Ovis aries: one gene and its partners. The protein of the gene in region 3 interacts with the protein of the main gene of each other region in a pairwise test. Links are inferred from orthologs where the notes say so. Each region holds a gene or a part of one and is shown on either strand. Other genes may lie near its edges.

The links.
Region 1: the proteins of SMAD1 (region 3) and LEMD3 interact in binary tests that used the Homo sapiens proteins (3 or more experiments, as listed by UniProt). The link is inferred for Ovis aries from reciprocal best matches to the Homo sapiens genes SMAD1 and LEMD3.
Region 2: the proteins of SMAD1 (region 3) and PSMB4 interact in binary tests that used the Homo sapiens proteins (3 or more experiments, as listed by UniProt). The link is inferred for Ovis aries from reciprocal best matches to the Homo sapiens genes SMAD1 and PSMB4.
Region 4: the proteins of SMAD1 (region 3) and PIAS4 interact in a two-hybrid assay, tested with the Homo sapiens proteins (2 studies listed by BioGRID and IntAct). The link is inferred for Ovis aries from reciprocal best matches to the Homo sapiens genes SMAD1 and PIAS4.

What each region holds. Positions count from the first base shown.
Region 1 is NC_056056.1:154,711,177-154,715,711, forward strand, and holds the end of LEMD3 (inner nuclear membrane protein Man1), read right to left. Parts: intron 3,600-4,535; coding exon 3,494-3,599; intron 3,394-3,493; coding exon 3,315-3,393; intron 3,097-3,314; coding exon 2,933-3,096; 3' UTR 894-2,932; downstream 1-893.
Region 2 is NC_056054.1:101,334,747-101,340,214, forward strand, and holds PSMB4 (proteasome subunit beta type-4), read left to right. Parts: upstream 1-1,837; 5' UTR 1,838-1,861; coding exon 1,862-2,001; intron 2,002-2,245; coding exon 2,246-2,452; intron 2,453-2,674; coding exon 2,675-2,821; intron 2,822-2,987; coding exon 2,988-3,069; intron 3,070-3,431; coding exon 3,432-3,548; intron 3,549-3,746; coding exon 3,747-3,835; intron 3,836-4,019; coding exon 4,020-4,032; 3' UTR 4,033-4,143; downstream 4,144-5,468. UniProt on the Homo sapiens protein: Non-catalytic component of the 20S core proteasome complex involved in the proteolytic degradation of most intracellular proteins. This complex plays numerous essential roles within the cell by associating with different regulatory particles.
Region 3 is NC_056070.1:12,801,149-12,806,044, forward strand, and holds the end of SMAD1 (mothers against decapentaplegic homolog 1), read right to left. Parts: intron 2,736-4,896; coding exon 2,592-2,735; 3' UTR 1,378-2,591; downstream 1-1,377. UniProt on the Homo sapiens protein: Transcriptional modulator that plays a role in various cellular processes, including embryonic development, cell differentiation, and tissue homeostasis.
Region 4 is NC_056058.1:17,801,284-17,806,991, reverse strand, and holds the start of PIAS4 (E3 SUMO-protein ligase PIAS4), read left to right. Parts: upstream 1-1,845; 5' UTR 1,846-1,870; coding exon 1,871-1,897; intron 1,898-5,708.

The DNA of each region.
Region 1 (4,535 bases), on a different chromosome or scaffold from region 3:
ACAAAATATAACAAAGTTCAATAAGAGGCTTCAATATTCACAGGATATTCAAGAATCTGCACACTAATGAGCATGAAAATGGATTTTGTAGTAACTCAGGTTCCACACATTAATTTTTATGAGCTCATCACAAGAACAGAAGCTTCCCTGAGAGCTCAGGGGAAAAGAGACATATCACTGTATCTATACTAATTCAAAAGTGTCTAATGTTATTAATACTTCATCTGTCCTGGTATCTTTTCCAGCTACCAAGATACATAAGGTACCTCACTATACTCCCAGAAGTTATTCTGCTTTCTTCACTCACTATATTTTCAACAGTACCTTTTAAGTAAGCTGTCTATATTCTTTCTCTAGATTGTGACCATCTTGACGATTGTGTCATGTCTTTTTCATCTTTGCACTCCTAACAAATAACAGTGCCTGACATTTGTTAGCAATCAATAAAATCCTACCAACTAAGTCAAATCTTCTTTTTACTTGATTAAACCATCTAAAAATCTAAACCAATGCTACTCAAAGTAGCAAGACCACAGACTGTTTGTTTATGATAAGGCGTTTGAGCCAGAATGTGTGAAAGAATGGCTTCCTTTTTTGAGCAAGCCTTGCTATGAAAAAATGTTTAGCTAAACTAAGCAACGCTATCTGACCTATATTCTTGCCCCACTTTGAGCCAAACACTTTGACAGTTAGACAAAGACATTTTTATAAAGAAAATTAACTTTATGGGTGAAAGTTAAAATTAACTTTCATCTACTTTTATAGCATATGTATATTTACAAATACCCAAAATGTTTAAAAATACAGGGATCTACTTTCACTGGTTAAAAAAATATAATAAAATAAAGACACAGAGCACTTAAAAAGTTTTTTTTTTTTAAAGCCAAGACACATTAAAAAAAAAACCTAATAAATTTTTAATTAGAATTTTTTTCCTTTTTTTAAACAGGACAAGTAACAGATTACATCAAACTTCAGAACTTCTCAAATATCTAGTTATTATACACATTCCCATCTGTCTTGCAGGGAGGGATCTTGGTCGGCTTAACAGTTTCAGGTAAAATAAGCTGCATAATAGTATATATTACAGTAGTAAGTGTACAATGCTTACATGGAATATGTTTTAGAAGCAAGAAAAAGATGCATATGCATCAAAAGGCGACCTCTTAAAATGCCACAACTATTTTTTTACATTCACTCTTGTAACAGGTCACAAGATGGGGTCACTAAGCTCAGATAAATCACTGTGATGCACATAAAATACAGAAAGATTGGTTATTATATATATTATATATATATTTATATTTTCACATGTTAGCATCTGAGACATAAACTGAGAATTTAAAATTTATTCTCTTCAGATAACAAATCATTTTTTATTCTTCATAAACATGGTGCCCACAAAAGCACACAGGTAAGGCACAATAAGGTTTTCTGTTACAGAACAGTGTGCATCATGTTTACTTAACCAGGAAACGTGCATTAACTGTGCAAGTTCATGCTGCAAACCTAACACATATACAATTTTAAATAAAAGAAAACTGAGCTTTAAACAAAATCAAAATTGGTACAATTTCAGCTTTTTCACATATTCATTTGGACTGACAATGATATATCAACAGGTTATTTTTAAAAAGCCAATTGCTACATTACAAGTAAACTTTACTCCGTTAACTATTTTAATCTGAAATCATAAACCATAATAAAGTAACTTTACTGAAACAAAGTAAATACCCAGGCACAAAGTGACCATCACTCGTGCATTTAATATACTGCGAACTTTCATAACCCAAAATTGCGAACGGAATTTTTCAAATACACATTTTGCTGCGACAATGTGCCCTGTTTTAAACTTGACATAGAACAGGGAAGCTAACATTTCATTAAATTATAAATAGATTGGGAAAATGATTTAATTCCAGCGGTACTATGTCATAGCCCTAGTATTTATAATAAATACAGCTTTTCACAAAATATTTTCCCAATATCTGCCAATTGCTTTTTTATTGCTCACATAAATTTGAATCTATTACAACTGATATTGGAACTTTCACACAAAATCATACTCAGACATTTTTATATAAAACCTATAAAAGTTATTTTAAACTTGTATCTAATACTTCCAGGTGTTTGGCTGTTTGATCTGTATGATAGTACAGCCATATGTATATATGTGTGTGTATATATACACATATACACATACACACATATATATATACATACACACATATATACACATACATATATATACACACATTAGATTATGAATAAAATAGGAAGCTTATTTTACTGCTTTAATGCAGACATCCTCACAAAACAGACTACTTTGGCTGTCACCAGCATTTATACATATATACAAAAGCCAGTTTAAGTACATGTACATCCACTTACACGTTTATGTAACCACTAAACCCGAATTGATTTTCCCATATTCCAGCTGTAGCAAATGAATCTCTTACAAGCAATAGAAACCTAAGGTTAAATTGGGAAATTAATAGTTTTACCACATTAGCCTGTAAGGAACTATTTAGGTGACTGTATACAAAAATTCACAATATCAGTTTACAGGAAATTATGGAAAAACAAGAAGCCTTTTCCCCATGCTTTTGTGTGGTTATTCAAACACTTCTTGGTGCAAAAATACAACCATCACATCTGAAAATGCTTAATAAGGTCAATGTTCCTCATGCAAAACTTTTAAGTGCATTGGCTTAACTGAACTCCAAAAACTGAACAAAACAATTACTCTATCTACTCAGCATTGCTGCCTCACTGCTAAGTCCCTTTGGAACCTTAAGATTTCTGGAACGTTCAAATAGAGCTGTATTCAATAAAAATATTACATACAAAAAGCATTTAAAAAGGGAGACAGGAAGCCAAACAGGAATTTTCCTACTGTAAAGAACAGTCTTAGGAGTGGAAGAAAGTCTTTTCAGGAACCTCCTTGAGAATTGCCTAGGCCAGTCCGAAGACGAAGATGAGACATAGAGTTCATGTGTTTATTTGATGGCTTCAAGGGAGTGTTGCAAGTAAGAGCCTGGGGAAAGCGATGGTGATATCTATCTAGTCGTAAATATTTTACTGTAACCAATTTCCCTGTTGTAAGATAAAAATAACATTTTAGATCTGTGTGAATGTGCTTAATATTAATAGAAATCAAACTGTGGTAAAAGACAAATGAACACACAAAAAATAATCTAAAATTATTATTCTATAAATGATAACCTAAGATTCTTTCATTTAAAATCTGGTAGAATTTAACAGTAAGCCATAATTTATCTTTTCAAAATGTTTGTAGTATTCAAGTTTCTTACCATCAAACCAAGAGCCATGCAATGCCTTAAAAGCTTTCCCAGCATATTCTGGAGACAGACATTTAACATATACACAACCCTGGAATATTTTAAAAAGAAAACAAAAAGGAAGAAAGAAAGAGTCTTAGTTTAATAGCAATAATTCAACATGAAGAATTCAATAGTGAAAGCTACTTTACCTCACGAGAGTTCTTGTCTACTGCAATGTGAACAATGCCATCGTTATCACTGCATTTTTCTAAAATTGCTTCTTGAATTGCCAAATGCCACTGATCCCCTATTTCCCTAAAAAATTAATGAAAAAAAAATCAACAGCCACATTCCTACTCAGAAAGCAGTTTTCTGTCTCTTCAATGAGTGCATACTAAGTTGCTTCAGTTGTGTCTGACTCTGCAACCCCATGGACCGTAGCCTGGCAGGCTCCTCTGTCCATGGGATTCTCCAGGCAAGAATACTGGAGTGGGTTGCCATGCCCTCCTCCAGGGGATCTTTCTGACCCAGGGATTGAACCGGTGTCTCTTATGTCTCCTGCATTGGCAGGTGGGTTCTTTACCACTAGCATCACCATATACCTAACTAGAATTAGGACAGCTTAAAAACCATATATTGTAAAAAACTAACAGTATATAAATGCTTGTTACTAGCAGTAGGTAGATTTTAAAAATGTTGGCATTCAGAAGTCCCAGCTATGTTCTCACTTTCCGGTGTAAGAATGTACAAGCTGAGGCACTGAAGGATCAGCCTACCATAGCAAGAAGGATCAGCCTACCATAGTAAGATAAATATGTTTTCAATTTTATGTTTAAAATCCTTTGCACTTATAGTCATTTCTCTTTTCTATCTAAATAAGTGTTAACAAACACTTCAATGAGTTGTGGTAAACTTATAAAAGTTAAGGATTATTTTTTAATGACATTTTCAAATTCCTAACTTAAGGAAAATTCTTAGTAAATATTATATTCTGAGCTGTTTTTTCCCAAAATATTAGAAACTTTATACAGGACAAACATTTTGCAAAAATAAGTCACTTTACTATTATGAAAGAGGTTCTGTTATAGTAACACACATTTGTCTTTCTTGTGAGATACAGATGGTGGGGCAGAGGAAAAGGCCATTCCACTTCAAATCATAAATCTTCATCTCAGGTAATAAAGTACTGGGCTGGCACAGACTTCCTAATCTCTAAGGTATGGGGTGAGACTCCCAGTAGAGGGATCACCA
Region 2 (5,468 bases), on a different chromosome or scaffold from region 3:
TCAGTTGGGTGCTTATTTAATTTATATGCAGAGTACATCATGAGAAACGCTGGACTGGAAGAAACACAAGCTGGAATCAAGATTGCCGGGAGAAATATCAATAACCTCAGATATGCAGATGACACCACCCTTATGGCAGAAAGTGAAGAGGAACTCAAAAGTCTCTAGATGAAAGTGAAAGAGGAGAGTGAAAAAGTTGGCTTAAAGCTCAACATTCAGAAAACGAAGATCATGGCATCTGGTCCCATCACTTCATGGGAAATAGATGGGGAAACAGTGGAAACAGCGTCAGACTTCATTTTGGGGGGCTCCAAAATCACTGGAGATGGTGACTGCAGCCATGAAATTAAAAGACACTTTCTCCTTGGAAGAAAAGTTATGACCAACCTAGATAGCATATTCAAAACCAGAGACATTACTTTGCCGACTAAGGTCCGTCTAGTCAAGGCTACGGTTTTTCCTGTGGTCATGTATGGATGTGAGAGTTGGACTGTGAAGAAGGCTGAGCACCGAAGAATTGATGCTTTTGAACTGTGGTGTTGAAGACTCTTGAGAGTCCCTTGGACTGCAAGGAGATCCAACCAGTCCATTCTGAAGGAGATCAGCCCTGGGATTTCTTTGGAAGGAATGATGCTAAAGCTGAAACTCCAGTTCTTTGGCCACCTCATGAGAAGAGTTGAGTCATTGGCAAAGACTCTGATGCTGGGAGGGATTGGGGGCAGGAGAAGGGGACGACAGAGGATGAGATGGCTGGATGGCATCACTGACTCGATGGACCTGAGTCTGAGTGAACTCTGGGAGTTGGTGATGGACAGGGAGGCCGGACAGGGAGGCCTGACGTGCTGCGATTCACGGGGTCGCAAAGAGTCGGACAGGACTGAGCGACTGAACTGAACTGAACTGAACTGAATGCAAGATCTTGACCCTTCCCTTTCCAGGGTTTCAAGACCTAATGAAATAACTTCATTTCAATTAAGCTAAAATTTCATGCATTGCTTTAGTTCAAATTAACTCAGGGAATTTAAAAAACAAAACTGCTTTGGTTTCCTGCTGAGTAAAAAATTTTGCATCTAGTTGTGAAGGGAGGAGTGGCAAAGGAGTAGTTTTAGGATTATTGTTTGATTCTAGACACTGCTTTCAGGCACTGCTACAGAATCACACTGAGATGGGAACGCTTGGAATTTAGTTACACTCCCACAGTCGACCGAATTTTTCTGCTAAGAGGTAGGCAAGAGCATCTGACAATCAGAAAACTTTCACAGATTTGTCCAAGGTCCTACAGAGTGAGTGATGCACCTGACAGAGCACATATCCCAAGGTACTCGCAACTGTTTGATTCCTTTTTTAAATTCTGAGTTTGAAAACTCAGACCTACCATTACTTGCTCTGTGAACGGGTTAATCGCTACACAAGTCTCGGTTTCTTATCTGTAAAATGGGTCTAATATGCCACATGAGGCTGCTTTGAGAAATACAAATTTAACAGACCCTGAGTTCACTGTTAGTTTCGTACGGGGTTTTCTTTTCCAATCTAGAAAGAGAGCTGCTTCCTCGCGCAGCGTCAGCGTCTTGAAGTGCCCCACCCCCGCCCCATATCCATCTCCCACACCACCCACCCCTTCCTTGAATTCGTGTGTCTGAACACAGTTCTAGTCCAGACTCTTCCGCGTTGTGACACGAGGTCACGCAATTCCAGTTCTCAGGGTCTCGATCGCTGCCCGGGACACAGGTACGGTCGGCCCCGACCTCATCAACATGGCTGCTGGAAGTGGCTTGTAGGAAGAAGAAAGGTGCGGCACTGCAGGATCACTTCCGCTTCCGTTGGTGCAAAAGCTTTCACTTCTCGTGCTACCGTGACTAAGATGGAAGCACTGCTGGAGTCGCGGTCCGGACTTTGGGCCGGGGGTCCGGTCCCCGGGCAGTTTTACCGCATTCCGTCCACTCCAGGTTCCTCTGTGGACCCGGCGTCCGCGCTGTACGGGGCTCCGATTACGCGCACCCAGTAAGCTCTTGGCGCCTTAGCCTGCGCAGGGGGAGGGACAGTGGGGCCTGGTGCCTCCCGCCGGTTCTGGGAGCCGGGGAAGTCGAGGCGAAGACCCGGGGCGCGCGACAGCGGGGGAGCTCAGGGAGGAAGGTCTCGGAGAATGAAAGGAGCCGTGGAAAGTCAGAAACGGAGCCCGCAGCTCCGGAAGCCGGCTCGTGCTTTTCGCCGCGCCGCCCCTCAGCAGACCTCCCTCTCTCTCTAGGAACCCCATGGTGACCGGGACCTCTGTCCTGGGGCTCAAGTTTGAGGGCGGAGTGGTGATCGCAGCAGACATGCTGGGCTCCTATGGCTCCTTGGCTCGTTTCCGCAACATCTCTCGCATTATGCGAGTCAACAACAGCACCATGCTGGGTGCTTCCGGAGACTATGCTGATTTCCAGTATTTGAAGCAGGTTCTCGGGCAAATGGTGTAAGTCATCTAGAGAGTAGAAGTAGTTGCCAAGTGGGGAGGGGAACCCACAGTTTTTTAATCCCTTCAAAAATTTCTGCGGGTAGAGAACAGGGAGACTTGCTGGGGGTGAAAGATGTGAGAAGTTTTGCAAATAGTTTATTTCAGTGGGTTTAAATGGGGAAGATTGTGGTAACGTCTTTTCGGGGTGGATGGAAATCCTGACTTCTGTTCTTTTATAAGGATTGATGAGGAGCTGTTGGGAGACGGACACAGCTATAGTCCTAAAGCTATTCATTCATGGCTGACCAGGGCCATGTACAGTCGCCGCTCCAAGATGAACCCCCTGTGGAACACCATGGTCATTGGAGGTTATGCTGATGGAGACAGGTTGATTTTAATACAAATAACTTAATTTCCTTGACCACCCAACCTCTAGTGCCTGTTTAGTGTCTGTCTCTCCCCCCTGAGTGAATCCCACTTCTGCCTCAGACCCTATAGTCCCATTCTTCAGCTAAGATACAGAAACCTAAGATGACCTATTGTGTCTTTTTAGCTTCCTGGGTTATGTGGACATGCTTGGTGTGGCCTATGAAGCCCCTTCGCTGGCCACTGGTTACGGTGCATACTTGGCTCAGGTAAGTAGTCAGTTGAGGGGTAGAAGACAGAAGGTAAGATTAGTGGCTGTCTGTTTTACCCTTTAAATTCGGGCATGAGAAACAGACTATGTTCCCTACTGCTGGGTTTATTTTTGGTCTAGAGGCTGTAATGACAAGGTGGGGTATGTCTTGGAGTGAGTCAGTATATGTATGCAAAGTGAGGACACCCATGAATTTCCCCTTCAAGTGGGTCTTAGCACAAGTAAGCAGAATTCATTCTGCTGAGGCAGTAAGTAGAATGTCAGCTTTTCACTTATGATTCTCTTTACATCATGGATTTGCAACAGATCATCTGGTATTCAGCCCATGGTATCTCCTGTTTTTTCCTCCCATCTCCTTAGCCTCTGCTGCGAGAAGTTCTGGAGAAGCAGCCAGTGCTGAGCCAGATGGAGGCCCGAGAACTAGTGGAACGCTGCATGCGAGTGCTGTACTATCGAGATGCCCGTTCTTATAACCGGGTGAGAAGTGTGAATAGTAAATGGGGATCTAATTGGCAGGCTGTGCAACTCCTGAGTCTCTATATGTTGAAGAACAGGCCATTTCTGTGTCTATTTTTCACATTTCAGAAAAACCCTCCATTTGACCTTTGACCAGGCCTGAGGCGTCTTTGATGACAGGGTTGGTATTTTCATTGAGAGCTCTGCTTTTTTTTTCAGTTTCAAATTGCCACTGTAACTGAAAAAGGTGTTGAAATAGAGGGACCCCTGTCTGCGGAGACCAACTGGGATATTGCCCACATGATCAGGTGACTGACATTAAAATTACAGTGGAATAATAGTTGGGAGATCCTGGTTGTAGTAAGGTTGGTTTTTCTGGAGGTCTCAACCAAAAATTCTCTGGGTGGCAAGGGTTTGGGTTGAAGATAGAGCTACTTTTGGGAATTGATTTCTCACTCTATGGCTTCATGATTTTATCATCTCTTTTTTTAGTGGCTTTGAATGAAATACAGATGTGTCATCCAGAACTGAAGTTGTACCCTTCTTCTAACTTTGAACTTGGTTGGTTCAAAGGTACTATTCTTTTTGTAAAATAAATAAATCCTTTGAAATGCTGGCTGAGTGGTTGTATCATTTGACTAAGTCACACCAAGAATGAAACTGCTAAGTACTGCTATATGCCATCTCCCTGCATAGTCAGAGAACTCTGGTTCTTGTAGCACATATAGACTTCTCTGCATAATACAGAAGCTCCACTACTGTCTTCATTTGGGTCTCTACTGAAGGCTGCTTTCTGTAAAAGTCAGACTTGATCTTTGTGTGATAATTAGCTTTTGTGTTTAACATTTTTCTTCAACATTCTCACCCATGCACTAGACTCTGAAATAGACTTTCTGGTTAATGTTGACTGCATATGGAATTTGTTAAAACATCATTTCAAAGATGGAAATGTAACATCTAGTCGACCTGTAGATTACTCCCAAACCTGAAGTAATAGCCTTAATCCTGCACCCATCCAACGTCCTCACCCTTCATGGGGAAACCTAATTTTGACATATAACCTAAATGTTTATTTCCAAATCTACTACTGATTTCTAGCACTGTAAGATCAGAGAAGGCAATGGCACCCCACTCCAGTACTCTTGCCTGGAAAATCCCATGGACAGAGGAGCCTGGTAGGCTGCAGTCCATGGGGTCACTAAGAGTCAGACACGACTGAGTGACTTCACTTTCATGCATTGGAGAAGGAAATGGCAACCCACTCCAGTGTTCTTGCCTGGAGAATCCCAGGGATGTGGGAGCCTGGTGGGCGCGGTCTATGGGGTCACGGAGTCGGACACGACTGAAGTGACTTAGCAGCAGCACTGTAAGACCTCTTAGAATATTGTGTTCACTTAGAAGTCCTGTAGTTGTGAGTCAAATCAGTTGGGAGTTATTAGCCAGTTCTTTTGCCAGGATGGTGTTAAACTTGAATTTTAAAAAACATCCTGGGTAATACTGATGGTGTAGTATCTTTTCTAAACCTCTTTTTGAGAAACTAGTATAGGCAGGAAACCCCAAAACTACTACAGGCATACCTTGTTTTTATGCTTTGCAGATACTGCAGTGTGTTTTACAAATGGAAGGTCTCTGGCTACTCTGCATTGAGTAAGTTTAGGTGTAATTTTTCCAACAGCATTTGCTTACTTTGTGTTACGTTTGGTGTGTTACCCTGATCAGTGATCTTTAATGTTACTACTGCCAAGAAAAGATCCAACCCGCTGAAGTCTCAACCGGTGATAAGCATTATTTGGCAGTATTTTTTAAGGTATCTAACTTTTTTAGACACAGTGCTATTGCCTGTTTAATATACTATAGCATAAACATATGCACAGGAAAACACAAAAAATGTGTGACTCGCTTTGTTGTTGATAGTTGCTTTATTGCGGTGGTCTGGATCCC
Region 3 (4,896 bases):
GATACCAGACCACCTGACCTGCCTCTTCAGAAATCTGTATGCAGGCCAGGAAGCAACAGTTAGAACTAGACATGGAACAACAGACTGGTTCCAAATAGGAAAAGGAGTACGTCAAGGCTGTATATTGTCACCCCGATTATTTAACTTCTATGCAGAGTACATCATGAGAAACGCTGGACTGGAAGAAACACTAGCTAGAATCAAGATTGCTGGGAGAAATATCAATAACTTCAGATATGCAGATGACACTACCCTTATGGCAGAAAGTGAAGAGGAACTAAAAAGCCTCTTGATGAAAGTAAAAGAGGAGAGTGAAAAAGTTGGCTTAAAGCTCAACATTCAGAAAACGAAGATCTTGGCATCTGGTCCCATCACTTCATGGGAAATAGATGGGGAGACAGTGGAAACAGTGTCAGACTTTCTTTTTTTGGGCTCCAAAATCACTGCAAATGGTGATTGCAGCCATGAAATTAAAAGACGCTTACTCCTTGGAAGAAAAGTGTTGACCAGCCTAGATAGCATATTCAAAAGCAGAGACATTACTTTGCCGACTAAGGTCCGTCTAGTCAAGGCTATGGTTTTTCCAGTAGTCATGTATGGATGTGAGAGTTGGACTGTGAAAAGGCTGAGCGCCAAAGAATTGATGCGTTTGAACTGTGGTGTTGGCGAAGCAAGGAGATACAACTAGTCCATTCTAAAGGAGATCAACCCAGGGATTTCTTTGGAAGGAATGATGCTAAAGCTGAAACTCCAGTACTCTGGCCACCTCATGCGAAGAGTTGACTCATTGGAGAAGACTTTGATGCTGGGAGGGATTGGTGGCAGGAGGAGAAGGGGACAACCAACGATGAGATGGCTGGATGGCATCACTGACTCAATGGACGCGACTCTGAGTGAACTCCGGGAGTTTTCGATGGACAGGGAGGCCTGGTGTGCTGCGATTCATGGGGTCACAAAGAGTCGGACACGACTGAGTGACTGAACTGAACTGAACTGAAGTGGCGCAATGGTTAAGATTCTGCCTGACAACGCAGGAGACCCGGGAGACTGGGGTTCCATTCCTGGGTTGGGAAGATCCCCTGAAGCAGGAGATGGCAACTGACTCCAGTGTTCTCGCCTGGAGGATCCCATGGACGGAGGAGCCTGGCGGGATCCTCTGTAGTCCCTGGGGTCGCAGAGAGTCAGACCTGATTTAGTGACTGAGTAGACACGTACTGCTCTTTTCATGATTAAGTCTCCCTGCCTCTGCAATTTCGTTTTTTAGTCATTTAGTTATGTTTGGCAAAGAATATTTGAGAAAAATCTCTCAAGAAAGCAGTGAATTTTATGAATCCTAACATCTTACGTGTGAAGAAAGGAAACAACTTTTAATCAAAGTAAGCAATAATGACATGTTTATTTAAAATTTCCAGTAGAGAAAACCCACTAGTTTTGGAATAAAAGTACTCAATGTATGAGAGCGTAAGTGAATATAAAAGATTAGCAGAAGAAAAATAAAACCAAACACAGTACAAAAAAATTTTTTTTAAAGTTTGAAATTGGTTTAAACAGAGATGTTCTTTAAATCCTCCAAATATTTAACAGAGTTACTAGGTTTGGCAAATAATTCACTTGAAAATTAAAGCCTATTTCTGTATTGTAAACTCCATAAAAACTCCTTATTAAATTCAAGCAACTCCATTCAACTGTGGTACTGAAATACACAGGCTGTCAATTTCAGAACAGAAGGAATTATTCATTTGCTCTCACAGTTATATGAATTAACCAGCTGCATAACTTTTTATTTTTGGAGAGGATGAGATAGCAGATGCAAAAAAAAAAAAGGATAAAATCTCTAAAAAACTGAAACACAGCAAAATTCAGATATTAGTTTGTTTCTTTAAAGCAACAAACTGAATTTTTACAGTATATTCTACATTTGTCCTTTCCCTCTCCCCCCACCCCCCCTTCAATACTCCTAAACCCACTAGTCTAATCAATTCTTAACTTTCAAATATTCTGTACATATATATTTAGCAAAGAGCGTATGTCTAACATTATTCTGACAGCATTATGGTCAGCATACAATTTTAGAAAGATTACTATGTATATCACCAAGATTAACCTTTACTTAAAAAACAAACAAAAACCTTTACTAAACGAATAGTTTTAAAATATTATGAAAACCCACGAAGAGAAGACTCCACGCAGGCTCTAAACCTGATAAAAACACACGTCAGAAAGACTATTAATGCTTAACTTCTGCCAAACGATGACCTTAAAGTGCCAAACACAAAAGACTCTCTTAGGATCGTTTTTCCAATAGGTGATTTGTCCCTGGCTTGGCCTTCTCTCCTTTAACTATACACAAAGTCCTGCTAAAAAGTATGCATTTTAGTTGATTTTACAATCCAATGTTACAATGTAAACGAAACAGGTTCTTGATATCAACAGTATGTTACCCCGGTTTTTCAATTTCTGAATCCGACAGTTGGTCACAGAGGTCAAGTATTGTCAAGGCTCCTTTGTCAGTTCAGATGGTTGTCTGACTCATCCATCCTTCAAGTACATGCAAGGCTCAATAGTGTTCCAGAGGCAGAAGCCTGAGGCGTTTAAGACACAGATGAAATGGGGTTATGAGGTGAGCCCATCTGGGTAAGGACTTTATCCAGCCACTGGAGGGGGCCGTGCAGATGGATCTCGATCCAGCAGGGGGTGCTGGTAACATCCTGGCGGTGGTATTCTGCTCCCCAGCCCTGGAAACAAGAGTGGGAGTCATTTAACCTGCTTGACTCAGGGGTTCAACTTACGGAGTAAAAACAGCTCACACAACCAGACACTCCCATTAAAGATACGGTTCTCTTCACAATACAAATGTGTATGCATGATTTGGCAGACAATTTCATAGCTCCCCAAAGGCCATATGTGGATTCCAGATTAAGAAGTACTGGTCTTAGGGGACCTCCCTGGTGGTCCAGTGGCTAACACTCCGTATTTCCACTGCAGGGGGCTCGGGCTGGATCCCTGGCTGGGAAACTTATGATCCCGCATGTTATGCAGTATGGCCAAAAAAATTTTTAAAAAAATAAATAAATAAAGAGAATAAGTCTCAGGGAATGAAAATTTTAAACTACATTATTAAGTGTCCGACTCTTCGTGATCCCAAGGATTGCAGTCCGCCAGGCACTTCTGTCCATGGAATTCTCCAGGTAAGAATACTGGAGTGGATTGCCATTCCCTTCTCCAGGGAATTTTTCCAAGCAGGGGACTGACCCCATGGCTCTTGTACTGCAGACAGATTCTCTACGGTCTGAGCCACCACAGAAGCCCAAACTACATTATAAGGCTGTTGTAATAGCCACTTTGTAACTTTCATTTTCACTGTCCATTATGTCCCCATACTATGATGACAGGTATTGTTAAACTCTTCTCTTATCATCAAGAAAATAAGAAAAAAAGGTATGTAAGACAAACTGACATTCTGTTTCTCCCTATTCAGCCCTTGCTAACACAGAGCTCCTGACCTTTTGATCTCTAAGCAAATCTGGAAGGAGCACGTAAGTATCCAAAAATCTATTAGGAACACCTAACCAGTGACTTGGATCATTTGTAAAAGAGGGTAGCTTGCCAGAGACCTTCAGGATTACTGAATTAGGACATGACAGTTGACAGAAGAAGTCCCTATGAAAAAGAGAAAAATAATTTTGCTATTGCAAACATCAAATCCTTACGGGTGTGGTGGATGAAGGCATATGAGATACTGATAAACCCTTGTTTCCTGAGAGATGTCAGAGAAGGCTGGGTTCTCTTTATCTATCTCAGGAATTTCAAGTAATGTATCTGAATATCAGAACTTTCAGAAGAAACTTGAAATATATGAACCGCACAGGTATAAACATCCATGCATCTGTAAATGTATCAACATGCTGCTAACTTTAATGGGAAGGTTTAAGTGCATGTTTCTGCACTAGACAGTAAGTTCTTTGAAGGTAGAGACCAGATCTCACTAATTTTTTTTTCTCAAACATCTAGCAGAGTGATTGGCACAAAGCAGAAGATGCTTGTTGAGCCGAAATGACTTAGAATTTTCACATATGGGGAGTCTACTGTGCAAATAATTTATAAAATACATGTTTAAAGTCCAAAATCGATCATTTTCACTAAGTAGTACAAAATCAGCTATTAATATTATTGAAATGTTTTCCATCCTTTCTCTAAGATGCTGAGGGAAGAGTATGTAGTGCTTATGCTAATAAAGAACAAGGCTGTACAGTGATCACATTTTTTGTGGCTCATGTAGTAAGTAGCTGCCCTTTATCATGTCAGCAAGAGGTTAAAATGTTTAACTGTCCAAATCTAGCTTCTCAGCCTTGTCCTTTATAGCTTGTATAACCCTTCATTCCAATATCAATTTATATTATAATTAAACATAGGCTGAGCCATCAGAATCTTGAAGCTAGAGACTTTAGGTGTTTTATCATCTTTGTATTGCTATTTTGGAATGGTGCTAAAAAATGTTTGCTGAGTGAATGAAATGCTAATCTATTTTTAATGCCTATCTTTGATTATAAATACTTTTTATTAGTGTAAAGGTGGTTTTCACTTATGTAAAAGTAAGTAATTAAAAACCTGTAAAAGTAAAATCATTAACATTGATTGGGTAATCAATAAGAGATAAGTTTGAGAAGAAAGCCAATTGGAGCATTACAGTCATAAATTCTCCTAGAGTGGTCCTTTGATAATAATAAGGGACCCCAGTTCCCTACCTACAGCCACCCATTTTAAAGATAATGAACAGGGGATCAGGAAGGAATCTCTGGGCCTTAATCACATGACAGAATAAGAACATGGATCTTCATGTTTTATTTATTATATTTCCTCCCTATCAATAAAAACAATAAACACAAACAATGCTGG
Region 4 (5,708 bases), on a different chromosome or scaffold from region 3:
CATTGCAGGCAGATTCTCTACTGACTGAGCTATCAGGGAACTTACCATCAAAGGGAAAGTGCATAAAAAACTTGGTGAAATCCAAGTATTTGTACTTGAATTGACTGTGTGGTATCAACATCAATTTCCTGGTTTTGACAACACACTGTGGTTGGTTATGTAAGATATTATCATTGGGAGAAGCTAGATGAAGGGTGCCTAAGGGTCAAGGGTGCCAGTTGTGCACCTTTTCTTTTTTTAATGGCTTTATTTATTTAAAATTTATTTGATATGGATCATTTTTGAAGTTTTTACTGAATTTGTTACAACATTCTTTCTATGTTTTGTTTCCTCCCCGCCCCTACCAAGGATCAAACTCATCCCCCTGCATTGGAAGGCAAAGTCTTATCTACTGGACCCCTAGGGAAGTTCTCACACCCTTAAAAAAAAAAAAAGAAAGTAACTGTAAGAAAAGTAAAACAAAACCCTGCTGAGTTACAGTTCTGGTGAGGCGAGGGAAGTCACTTATACAAAGTTGTATAACCTCTTATAGCATATTAAAAAGCAGAGACATTACTTTGCCAACAAAGGTCCGTCTAGTCAAGGCTATGGTTTTTCCTGTGGTCATGTATGGATGTCAGAGTTGGACTGTGAAGAAAGCTGAGCGCCGAAGAATTGATGCTTTTGAACTGTGGTGCTGGAGAAGACTCTTGAGAGTCCCTTGGAATGCAAGGCGATCCAACCAGTCTATTCTAAAGGAGATCAGTCCTGGGTGTTCTTTGGAAGGAGTGATGCTAAAGCTGAAACTCCAGTAGTTTGGCCACCTCATGCGAAGAGTTGACTCATTGGAAAAGACCCTGATGCTGGGAGGGATTGGGGGCAGGAGGAAAAGGGGACGACAGAGAGTTGGTGATGGACAGGGAGGCCTGGCGTGCTGCGATTCATAGGGTCGCAAAGAGTCAGACACGACTGAGGGCTGAACTGATACTCTCTTAAATTTTATTATTTTCTTCATCATGGCTATTTCTGCATTTTTATATAAAAATTAGTAACTTGATAACTGAGTCATTTGGCGCGCTTCATTTTCTCAAGGGATGGGCCCCGAAATACGTTTTTATCCTCTTGCTTTCTTTGACACAAGAAAGTTTGGGCTTAGCAGCTCACCGACACTGGGGAGCCACGGAGAGCTCTAAAGCTGGTAAATTTCCGATTAGCGCAAATTCCAAAGGTTTACCGTGGGTGGAGAGGCGGAAGTGGGCGGGAGGGTGGTCACCTGCACCGCGGGAATTGGGTAGGGGGTACAGCATTTCTCCGCCGGCGGCGCACCAAGGGGGTGTGGCGCCCTCGCCCTCTCAGCCACCCCAGGACCCGGATGTACAGCGCGTGGGGCTCCCGGCCCGCTGAGAATGAACCGCGCTGCGCTCCACGGCGCCTCACTGCACGCAGTGGCGGCCGCTGCGCGGGCCAACCATTTTCTCCCTCCTGGCAGCGAGGCGTCCGGTCACGCACCTGGAGGCTGCCTCGCGCAGGAGACCGCGACACCTGGCTGCATTGTTGTCGCCTCAACTGTCTACTCTCTCGTCAGACAGGACCCAGTATCCGCCCCAACCTGTGCCGGCCTTGTACCCCTTTAAGAAACCAGACACGGCCAGGGGTGGGCGTGGTCACAGTGAGTGAAACGGGGAGGGTGGGTGCGTAGTCGGGCAGCCCTGATTGGCCGGAGGCCCGGGCGGTGCCGCGCGCGCTTGCGCAGTGCGCGGTCGCGCGCGCCAGAGGGGAGGAGGGCGCGAGGGTGATAATTGGCCGCGGCGCGGGCCCCGCCCGCGAATGGAAGGCGATCACGTGACGCGACGGCTGGGGGCTCCCGGCGCGGGGGACGCTGGTGGCCAAGATGGCGGCGGAACTGGTGGAGGCCAAAGTGAGTGAGCGGCGGCGGCGCCGGCCAGGGCGGGCGGGGGACGGGGGTCGGGCGGCAGCCCGAGGTCTGTGCCTTCCGCTCGGGGCCCCACGGCGCGGCCCGCCTGCGGCTCGGCGTCCTGCCCCCTCGCCCGTCCCTGGCCTGGGGGCTCCGGTTGCGGGCGGGGCGCGGGAGGCCGGGGGCGGGGCCCCCAAAACCTCACCCCAGTCTCCGAGCAGGGGGTTCGGCCCCCCCAGGCGTGAGGTTGGGTCCTCCCCTCTCCAACCCTAGCGACTAGGGTCCAGATCGCGCTGAACGCAGGCACAGGGCCGCGCCTCCAGCTTGAGGCACATTCCCCCCGGACAGCGTGACGGGTTGGGCTGCTCGTCCCTTCCTCGAGGTCGGCGCTCTTTGGCTTGGGGGAGTGTCCGCCTCTCACCGCTTCCCATGGTATAGTGGGCTGGCATCTGGGTCTCAAGTCTCCTCGCCCAGCTGATCAGGCTGCGCTTGGCGGCTCTCTGCTCGGAAGGGTCCTCTGAGTTTTCTGCCACGGGTGATGAGCTGGGGATCCTGAACCGCCCCCAAACACAGGGTGTCTCTTGAGGGTCTGTACCCCAGGCTGGGGTTTAGAGCCCTTATTCAGCTCCCGCTCTGGTCCCAGAGCCCCGCCCCCTCCTGACACCCTTCTCACCCCGGAGTGAGCGCGGTGTTAACTGAGCTTGCCTTCCTGAGCTTGCCTTCCCGGTGTGATGGAGCCTTGGTCCTGGTGTCAGCTCCTTCCTAACTCTTTTCTCTCAGTCACAGGTCCTGGGTTTTGCGTTCCTTCTCACTCTTTCTCCTCCCGACAGCATTTGTGCAGCTGTGAACTCTGCTCCTGGGAGCCCTAGACTCCACACTCGGAGGATCAGACCCCGTTTCCAACCCCAGCTGCTTCCCTTATACTCAGGCCATCACGAGTCTACTGCTCAGACCACACTCCGCACACAGCCTCTCTTTAGATCTGTTTAGACAGCCCAGCTCTGGCGTCTGAGGCCCTGCTCTTTCTGCGGGTCTCTTACGTTGATCCTTGGAATGTCCCCAGTTGATTGCAAGGTTCTTTAAAATGGTTCCTAGTCTGTCTCCCCTGCATTGCTGTCTGGGGTCCACATTCTACATCCCAAGGATGTTACTCCTTCTAGCTTGAGGCCCCTTTTAACCGTCTTGGCACTAAGCTGGGTGCATCTCTCTCCCAGGGAAGTATCTACTGTCAGAGGCCCCTGTGAGGTGAGGCTCCAGAACCCTTGCCCCTGACTAGGCTAGGTTCTTGCCTGAGAAGTTTACTCAAGGCCGCTCATCTTTCGGAGGTGGGGAAGGGACCTAGCAAGACAGGCCCCGCCCCCTCCCCCGCTGATCTTTCCTCCCAGGGGTCCTGACCTGTAAATGTTTTCTCTCTCTCGCTCCTCCCTCTCCCTCCGTCTCCCTTTGCTTCCCACGGGGATCTGAAATACAGCCCTCATGGTTCTGTGATTATCCAGTATTACTCTCCCTTCACCCCTGAGTGCCCTCCACCTATACCTGCATCACACATGCGGCCACCGCTCTGTTTTGAGAAATTGAGAGTTGCCCTAGAGATGCAGGGGTCCGAACCCTGCCAGCCCAAGGTGGCATCCTATGGCCTGAAGTCCCCTGGAGCCCTGAAATTTAACTTCCTCAGGGCACTGTGGGCCTGTGGCTCTAGATGCAGGCCTGCCACTCCAGCCAGAGAGTAGGGTCTGAACTATTATACCATCTAGGGCCTTGAAATATGATCTGATGAACTCTACTTGACCCTTCCATGACTGGGGCCCCCTCCCCAATTAGATCAGATTGATCCTTTATCAAGTTCTCTAAACCATGAGCCTCTGTCCTAGGGGGTCTCAGAACTGCCACCCAGCCTTCTCTGATCCTCTGGAACCTTCCTGCTTCTTCAGCACCTTGCTGTCCCCATGGAGTGCTTTACATGTCATTGAAATAACCCCCTCTTTGAGACACTTTCTTAAACCTTTCATAGTGATAACCAGAGACTTATCTTTTGGGATGGATGCAAAATGGGCTGATCTGAGAGGAGAGCAAGGGGGACTTATTCATACACTTGGAAATCTGAGACTCTTCACCTGAGGCCCCTGAGAGGGGTTGCGGGGAAGGGTTGGACTGGGCACTCCCCTAGAGGGTGTGTAGCCATATGCGCTGAGTTCTGAGTTCCTGCAGTGAGGAGCCCCTGTTCAGTTGAGTGTGACTGTTGTATCCAGGCCGCTGTTTCTCCATGCGGCTCCTGAGGGGCCCAGAACTGAGGCTCTGGAAGCTGTTGTGGGCCTGGCGCTGTTTATAAACACAGATCTGAGGGGCAGGCGGGTCAAGATAAAGCCAGGCAGGAAGTGATCTGTGTAGTGCTTGGGGCTTCTTCCTGAATGTTTGCGCCCCGCTCATTCCGCTCCCCCCACCTCCGCCCAGTGTCAAGGGCAGGCTCCTGGGTAGTGGCAGCTGCTGAGAAATCCGAGTCCTGAACATATGGCAGCTCAAGAGGTGTGCCCCAGGCTGCGCGTGCACAGGCGGCTTCCGGATGTCCCCAACCTGGTGGAAGGGGCAGGTGGGGGCAGGGGCTTCCTAGGGCGGGGTGCCCTGTCGTGGTCAGACTCTTAAAGGCCAGGCCCACCTGCTTCAGGCTCAATGGCTGGTGGTCAGCTCTTCCACATGATTTCGCTTCTCCCCTTGAGTGCCTTGGGCCTCTTCCAGAAGAAACATCTTGTCTGCAAGCCTTTCTCCTCTGTTCAAGGTAGAAAGTCAGGCTGAGGGAGGCAAAGCCTCTTTGTTTGCAGAGTTTTCTGACTCTGTGGGGGCCTGCAGACCACTGGGTCCCCCACCCAGGGGGCATGCTGGGGAGTGAGGGGCTTCTCGGAGCTGGAGGTAGACAGCCTCAGGAGTCCAGATACCGCCAACTCTGCTGTGGACACATGGAGAGGCCTGGCACCAGCTGCTTCCCTCTTGGAGCCTCAGTTTTCTCACCTGTATAGTGGGCGCCAATCTCGGTGAGATTAATGAGTGCAAAGGCCAGCGAGCTTGGCATGGGTTTGCATGCCCCCTCTGCAGCATGGGAGGAGGAAGAAGATCCTGCAGCAGCAAAAGGCTCCCCCTTCAAGGCTTTGCAGGCAGGACTGGGCCCCCCTCACAATTTTGAGGCTGACAGGGACCCAGGCTCCCCTGGGAACCTGGGGCAGAGCTTGCACTTGAGCCTCAGGCTCCTGAGTCCTGGGGCCATCACATGGCACATCTTACTCTTTGATACCCAGGAAGCACCAGTGCCTTCTGGCTTTGAGGCCACTGCTGTAAACAGCCTGGCAGGGGTCCTGCCCACCTCAGACCGCAGACTTTTTCTAGTTGATTTTAAGTGATTTCTTGATTTCTTCAGCTGCTGTCCTGCCCTGGGCTCGCAGCTTTCCACATCCACACTTGTTGCCTGTACTTTTTCTTTTTTTCATTCCCCCTGGAAGTTTCTCTTTCCCACCACATTTCATTTATCACAGGCCAGCTTCAGGGCTCAGCACAGGTGGCCCCCAAACCTGGCTGGCCCATCCTTCTGGGATACTTTGCTTATGGAGCATATTAGGGAGTCCACAGTATCGTGGACCAGTATCTGCTGGTCAGCCCCACAGAAAGCATGAGGGTCCACTGTGCCCTTGTGCTTGATCAGACTTAGTTGGAGGGACACCACCAGGTGATACTCACCAGACCTCAGTCATTGCTTTGCCACAGCTCAGTTATAACCTCTGACTGGGCCCCTGTGCTTCTCTTTTGAGGGGGGATCTTGCCCCTAGGG